Linked DNA regions of Rhinolophus ferrumequinum. Each later gene encodes a partner of the first gene's protein in a complex. Links are inferred from orthologs where the notes say so. Each region holds a gene or a part of one and is shown on either strand. Other genes may lie near its edges.

Region 1 (3,745 bases):
TATTACCATTTATAGAGTATTCACAGAAGTTTAAAATTTTACAGCCAGTCTCATTTCATTCTCACAACAGTCCTGAGAGGTATGTCTTGTTTTCTTTTCATAGATGAGGGAACTGAGGCTCAAGAAAGTTAACTTTCTCAAGGTTACCAAGCAAATTTAAGACCTGAGTCAGGATTTGAATCCACGCCTGTGTGATTCCAAAGCCCTGTGCTCTCAATCATTGTTAGATAGTCTAAGCCCAAAATTAAGTTAAAATTCCTTAAGCCAATCCAGCATAACATTACTAGTGAAAAAATAAATGGCTTCTATAAGCAATATTTAAGCTCCCAACCAAACAGGAGAAATACTGATAGTCTCTTGTTCTAAATTAATTATTTCAAAGGCAGCTAGCGGCCCACTGCCACTGTACCTAAATAAAAAAAAAAAAAAAAAAAATTCTCCCTTTAATGGCTGAACCCCAGTCTCCAGGGTCTCACTTAAGTAACTTCACCAGACCTCAGATGACTTCAGCAAACAGTATGTAAACTAATGCACGTTTCTTTTTTGTATTTGTAAAATGCATTAAGTACCCTCTTCTCTGTAAATGACTTTCTCCCGGGGAAAGGGAGGATACTGAAGGTACTCACAACATATAATAGAATTTTCTGGCCCAGAGGAGTAAGTGGTGATAAGAATATGTCATCAGCTAGGTTGTCAAGATTTGCAAAGTATTGGTAAAGCAAAGAAATGTTACCGCCTTCGTTTAGTCATTCTGAGCACCCAATGGCAAAGTCAGAAACTGTCACCATGCTTAACACTCTTTTTAAACTCCACCCTCCACTGTAAAGCTTTAAAGCAATGGCTTCTTCCTCCCTGGTAATGATCTTTGTTCAGTACACCACTGATGGCTGCCCTCCTAATTCAGTAAGCAAAGAAAGAGCATCAGAGTGAGGGCGCATTCACCGAACAAAAAAGCTTTTAGTGTACTTTTTCTCAGGGAAAACTGTACCCCTTTATCTGTTGATTAAAAAAAACCAAAAACCACAAAAAACTATTTGGATTCTTTCCGGACTGCCCAATAAGCAATTCTTTCTATCCATTCCCCACCCTCTAACAGGTTTTACTCAAGGGCACTACGATTCTCTCTCATAAGAAACATTTGATTTCACCAAAGAGCACACAACCCCCGCCCCCAAACACACACACACCTTTTGAGAAAGGTATGGATCCAATTAGGACTCTTCCCTTCTGGTTCTACAAACACTAAAAGGCTGGACCCTCCCAGTATTGCTGCAGGAAGCAATCAGTCCAGAATGATAAAACGAGCTCGTATTTGTGCAGCGCACAGCCTTTCCTGCTCAGGAACTGGGCCTTCAGGTCTGGCAAGGATAACAGCCACCACCCATCCGCAACCCCTTCCCGCGAGCAGAGTCAGGAGTTACCCCGGGCCGGTGGCGCCGGGTAGGGAGGGTAGGAGAAAAAAAGGTTAGGAGGGAAATCACATCACTCTGCCGGGTCACTGCGACAAGTGCGTGCGTGGGTCACTGACAATCCCTCTGGCCCTACTCCCCACCCGTGGGGTCGCACGGGAGATGTGGGAGAGCTCTAAACTACTTGGGGAGGGAAGGCAGAGAAAGAGCTACCAATCCCCGGGACAGAACTGTGGGACGGGTGGGGGCCCCTGGCCCGCTCAGATTTTCACGAGGGCCTAGCCCCGGGGTGGAAGAAGATGGCCAGGAGAGCCGCGGGTCCGAGGGGACGGGGGGAGATAAGACCTGTAGTGGGAGTCTGCGCCGAAGGCAAGATGAGGAGCCAAGGAAGGGCTGGTCAGAGCGGTTCAGGAAGGGGAGTGAGTCCAGCAGGGTGGACACTGAGGGGGAGGGGGCGCCAAATCGGAATGATACATGGTGGGAGGGGTGACCCCTTTGAAGCGGCCCTAGAATCCCGGAAAGGAAGACGATGTGGGAGATGGGAGCCAGCCGAGAGAAGGACACACGGTGAGGGGCTATGAGGCCAGCGAAGGCCTTTGGGGAGGTCCCTCAAAGATCGGTGTGTGGCGGCGACTCCCTGTCTGAGGGGAGGAAAAGGGGCTGAGCCGCGAGACCGCGGAACAAACTGCACCGAGAGGGAAGGGCTAAGGAAGGCCGATTTCACACGGGGGTAGCCCCCGCGCGGGTCTCCCGGGAGTGTCTCGGGCCCCCGAACAAGACTCGGTGGAGAGGAGGGGAGCCCATGACCTCACCTTTGAAGAGGTAGTCGTACTCGTCGTCGCGGGTGCCCATTGCGCGGCCGAGGAGCGAAGGGGCGGGAGCAGCAGTGGTATCGGTGGGACTAGGGGGCGTCGCTGCAGGGGTAACCCGAGCGCGGATCTTCAGCTGCCTGACCGGGTGAAGAACCCCTCCCTGCTGCTACGCCACTTCCGGCGGGCCCCAGCCCCTTAGGGGAAGTGCTTCCGGGGGTGGGGGTGCCCTGCCCCTGAGCCTGCGAAGGGCGGTGTGCGCGGAAACGGCGTCCGTTTTCAAATTCTTACCTCCTCCCAAAGGTTCAGAGGACAATCTGAGGCTTTGCACTCCAAGCTGATCATAGTCCTAACAGCAGCTCACCACACTCTTGGTGGCCTCTCCCTCATTCCTCCGGCCGCCATCCCGGGGCTCTGAGGAGAGCGTCAACCCCGGCTCCAAATGGTCGGTTTGTGAATGGGGGCGGGGTTCACTAAGAATTAGAGAGCCCAAGGCGGCCCGCACACGTGTGGTGGTTCCATGGTGTAATGGTTAGCACTCTGGACTCTGAATCCAGCGATCCGAGTTCAAATCTCGGTGGAACCTATACCCTTCTCTTTTTTTCTCCCTGGCCAACGTTTTTCATTTTTCTGCTTAGTTGCTAAGTGATTGTTATACAACTATGGTATATATCGCCTTGAACTCAGCGGAGAGGGAATTTCACAAAATTTAACCTTTGCCTAGGAAGACCTCACAAATTTCCCCCTTCAATTCTGTACTTTCTGTTACCTGGGTGTCTCCTAAGGAGCCTCTTCACTTCTCCCCTTTTTTAACCTGGGTCCTCTGCCTCAAACCTAATTGAAAAGCTTCGATTAAACTTGATTCCTTTTGCTAGAATTTTCAACCTCCGATATCATGCAAGGGCAGGCGCTTTTCACTCACTCCTGTTCTCGGAAATCTCCAGATGCCATTCAGATAATTTCGCCCACCCGCCTCATCAAGATTCATCAAGAACTTCTTAAACCCCATTTGTCAACCTCTAAAGCAAACTCGTTTACATAATTATTTCATTTAACACGCAGAGCAAAGGATGGCAATTTTCATTTTAGCGGAAATGTGGATACTGAGACAAGTGATTTGCCCAAGATCATAGCAGCAGGGCCTCCCTGGATTTAAAGAGAGTTTTATTCCAAAAAGTTTTTCCTATTGCTTTGCCACACCCCCATCTCCTATATGCATACCTCAATTTACACTTGAGCAGGGGTGCCTGTTACAAGCAGAATGATGGCTCCCTAAAGATGTCCACTTCCCAATCCCTGGAAACTGTGACTATGTTCAGTTACATGGCAAATGGAAATTAATGTTGCAAATCAACTGATTTTAAAATAGGGAGATTATGCTGATTCTCCAGGTGGGCCTAATGTTGTCATAAGTGTCCTTAAAAGTGGAAAAGGGAGGCAGAGGAGGTCAGAGTGATGGCAGTGTGAAGGGACTTCTAAAAAAGAACATAAACAGAGTTCATGTTCAAAATGGTGTCCAAGCTGCAA
Region 2 (3,745 bases), on another chromosome or scaffold:
AATCTTCTCAAATTCAGATTTATAGACTTAAAAGTGTTTAAGAACTAGAAACCTATTAACACAGGGATATACAGTCCCCCTAGCCCTAGGAAGAAAGTCTAATACTATTTGGATTACGCCAACTCTCACACCAATAAACTTAAAAATATGTGTCTTGTATGTTCTCCCAAGACCTTTGCCTGGTGAAACAGTTTTGTCCATCTCCATAAGTCCAGAAAAAGTACACTAAAACTTTAGCTCAGACTACCCCTAATTCATTTGTAATAGTTAATACGCAATATACTCATTTCTAACATGCAATAAAATTTTTAAGATTGAGTGGTCTCCTCTGAAAGTGTTGTCTTTAAAAGCAATCCAATATTAATTCTTTTTCCAATAATCAGGGCTCCAAAAATTAAGGGTTTATTCAGTTATCCATTAGCTTCATATAACGTTGCAATCATCTAATAAAAGACTTCAGGATACATTGCAGGTATATTCACTTAAGTCACTCATTTCACTTGGGAGTACAAGTGGCATTTTCGTGAACTTTCCTGTAACAAAGCTCAGCCCTTTATACTTCAGATTTTTCCCTGACTCACAGGTTTCCAACCTTCAGTCAAAGTTCCTGATAACCCACGTCAGGGAAAGAACTGAAGCCTGGAGCTCTGAGAGCTCCTCCCACGGGTAAACGGGGTGGGGTGCTTTTCCAAAGCCAGAAGCACCCGAGATTCCCCACACACACCCCCACCTTTCCGGGAATCTACCCTCCGACCATTCGTGATCGCTGCTATCGCTGTCAGGGAAAGCCTGGTGGGGATGGTGCAGGTGTCCCCGGCTGCTGAGACCCGCCGCCAGCTGACTTACATCCTCTGCGGTGGCGGCCTCAGATCATCCCAGTTCAGCCCTGCCCCGCTCCCGGAGGTACGATGAAATTAGAAAACTTGCTAAAGGAAAAATAGCCAGCCCACCCAACAGAAGGACTGGCCCACGTGCGCGGCAGCGGCAAGCAATCGCCAGGTGAGAAGGCGGAAGTGGCCCTTCCTCCTCCACCCAGACCTGTTGGCCCGGTAGGTGTCCTGAGGATCGCACACCCACGAGTGTGCGTGCACCCCCCCCACACACACACACACCTCTGCATAGAGGCGAGCACAAGGCATTGTCCAAGGTGCCCCGGCCACAGCCAAGACAGGCAGGCAGGAAAGGCGTGGGAACATCCAAAACTGAAGAATGGGTTGGAGGTGGGCACGTGCTTTAAATGCCCCGACCCCTCTCACCCCCAGCGCCAGGTTGAAACTCGAGGGTACCTCGGCTGCGGCTGCGCACCAGTGGGCGTAGGGGGAAGCGGTGACTGGTCCCTAACTTTAACCATAGCAACTGCCGCGGAAGCGGGGCGTCTCCACTTTTCTGTCCCCGACTGAGGACGGAGCCCCATACATCCATTCTAACCTTGCAGGCACCCTGGAAATCCACACTCCACACCACCCGCACCCCCGCCAGGTTACTCCAACCCCCTCCCCACAGTAACTGAAGCCCTCCCGGTACCCATCCAGAGGGGTCACCTCCGAGTGCCCCTCCCTGTCAAACTATGAATGCGCTTCCCTGGGATCTCCAGCGATCCCATGGCTTACGTCCCTCCACACCTCCAGCCGCTGCACCCCTCACACCTCGTTGGGACCCCTTCTCTCTCCACCCCCAAGTGCAGGAACATCCCCTCCAAGTTCAGGGTTTCCCCTCATTGACCTCGGGAGAAAAGGAAGGCTTACAAGCCTTAGTGGGTCGACCTTGGGAGCTCACGCTGAAGAGCACCTGGGGTAGGGTCCGTGACTGAGATGGGCGCCACCGCAGGGGGCTGTCCCCACGCAGCGGGTTCCGAGCTGGCCCCCGCGGTCGGTTCGGGGAATTCAGCCCGAGCCGAGCCGGAGTCGGGGCGAGAAAAGCGATGACCGAGTGTCGGGGAGGAAACCAGAGCCCTAGCCAGGGACAGAGCCGCGGCCGGTCAGTGCCAGGCGCTCCCCGAACAGCCAAACTTTCTCCTCCACCCCGAAGTTAGGGGCGCCGAAGAGATGGTGAAGGGGAGCTTAAGAGGCATCTCAGGTGCCCCCCGGCTCCTGGAGCAGCAGGAGAAGGCGCCCGGGAGGGCCTCGGTGGCCTGGCGCGCACCGCCCCCGCCCCACGCAGCCCTCACCTGTGCCCGCCCGGCCGCGGCGCGCGGCCCGCACTCACCTGGCTGTAGAGCTCGCTGACCGACATGACCCCGCGGGCAGGGCCGAGCCCGGGGCGCCGTGCCTGCAGACTGCCCTCGCTCGTGCCCCGGCGGCGGCAGGTCCCGGCTCCTCGCTGCCCCGGTGGCTCTCAGTCCACGGCCAGCCCGCCTGGCGCCATCTTCCTGGGCTGGCCGAGAGTTTGTGTGTTTCTCGTCCCTTTCCCCCGACCTGTCCCGCCGGCTTCCTGGAGGCGCCGCGACCGGCTCGCTCCCTGCCGGCGCGACCTTTACTCCCGCGGCAGCGGCGTCGCTGCGGCCGGGCCGGAGTTGCGGGCGGGCGGGGGAGGAGGCCGCGCGGCGCCGCTCCCGGCTCAGGTATGGGAGGAGGTGCCGGCGCCGGGCGGCGGAGGGAGGGAGGATAGCGGGCGTCAGAGCGGGCGGCGGGTGTGTGCCGCCGCGCCTTTGCGCCCAACGGGGCCGGGCTGGACGCGCCCTCCCGCGTCCCCGCCGCCGCGGGGTCCTCCGGCCTGGGGGCGGGGCGGGCGAGGAGCGGGCGGCGGCCGCCCCCTGCTGGACGCCGCGCGCACGCGGGACAGGTGCGCGCCGGCTGCCGCACCTGCCGCGCCACGCTCCGGGTCCACGCGGGCTGTGCCTCGGGGGGTTGTGCCGGGGATGGAGGACGGACAAGTACGCAAGAGGAAAGTAACCAGAGAGGCGAAGAGGAATAAAAGGAGGGATGTCTACGGCGGAAAGGCTCCATACACTGTCCTCTGTGTTTTACGAGGCTGTAGCCAATACTTTCATTATTTAAATTCAGTTATGTCGTAGATTGTTATGAGGTGACGGGGCTATGCCAAAGATTGTCTCCGCCAAGATGGGCTCCCTGCGCTGAAATCTTAATCAGAAAGGTGGGAGTCGCAACTCTTCTCCACTTTGTTTGCCCGTCCCCGCCTCCCCCAGCTGCCAAGTAGGCACCCGCCACCATCTGGGAGGATTGTTGGCTTCTCTGGGAAGTGTCACGTTTTCTCCCCTCGCACACTCTCAGTCCCTCTGCTACTACCTACCTCATCTATTTTTGTCCCCTCTGCCAGTGGCATGTGGCTACCTGCAGCAGCTTCAGTCCCTCTTCTACTTCCAGCAAAAAGTAGACATTTCAGCCAAAAAAAGAAAATAATTGGCAGGAGTAGGTGGAGGGAGAGCAGAAGCTGTAGGAGGCGATGGGACCTTGGTTTTCTGAAGGTGACATTTGTACCTGAATGAGGAATGGCCTCTGAAGGTGGTTCCCAACCAAAGCGTCCATCTACACCAGCTGGAACAGTTGTCCTGGAGTCCTGCCCTGGAAGGGTTTTTAAACTCATCCTATTTAAGGGCTTCCCACCTGGCGTGCAAGATCCCCTTTTAATTCACGTGTCTGGCCCTTCTTACCTGTGCCTCCTCCATGAGAATTATCACCTGGGGAGCTTTAATAGCTCTAAGAAAGGCCCCCCTCAAGAATTCTGGTATATTGGCCAAGACTGGGACCTCAATACCTGAATTGTTTTAAGTTCTTCTGTAATTCTA

The links.
Region 2: the proteins of RAB11A (region 1) and MYO5B are in contact, whole or in part, in a crystal structure (PDB 4LX0), measured with the Homo sapiens proteins. The link is inferred for Rhinolophus ferrumequinum from reciprocal best matches to the Homo sapiens genes RAB11A and MYO5B. Residues at the interface, in NP_004654.1 of Homo sapiens: Leu11, Lys13, Arg33, Glu35, Ile44, Gly45, Val46, Glu47, Phe48, Ala49, Thr50, Gln63, Trp65, Glu71, Arg72, Tyr73, Arg74, Ala75, Ile76, Thr77, Ala79, Tyr80, Arg82, Gly83; in NP_001073936.1 of Homo sapiens: Ile1627, Gln1628, Gly1629, Leu1630, Trp1706, Met1710, Arg1713, Tyr1714, Ser1717, Gln1718, Glu1721, Arg1724, Gln1745, Leu1747, Gln1748, Leu1749, Lys1750, Lys1751, Glu1755, Ala1759, Leu1763, Tyr1779, Glu1786.

Annotation. Positions count from the first base shown.
Region 1 is NC_046289.1:45,041,601-45,045,345, forward strand, and holds the start of RAB11A (ras-related protein Rab-11A), read right to left. Parts: upstream 2,414-3,745; 5' UTR 2,262-2,413; coding exon 2,222-2,261; intron 1-2,221. UniProt on the Homo sapiens protein: The small GTPases Rab are key regulators of intracellular membrane trafficking, from the formation of transport vesicles to their fusion with membranes.
Region 2 is NC_046302.1:41,029,865-41,033,609, forward strand, and holds the start of MYO5B (unconventional myosin-Vb), read right to left. Parts: upstream 2,556-3,745; 5' UTR 2,233-2,555; coding exon 2,206-2,232; intron 1-2,205. UniProt on the Homo sapiens protein: May be involved in vesicular trafficking via its association with the CART complex. The CART complex is necessary for efficient transferrin receptor recycling but not for EGFR degradation.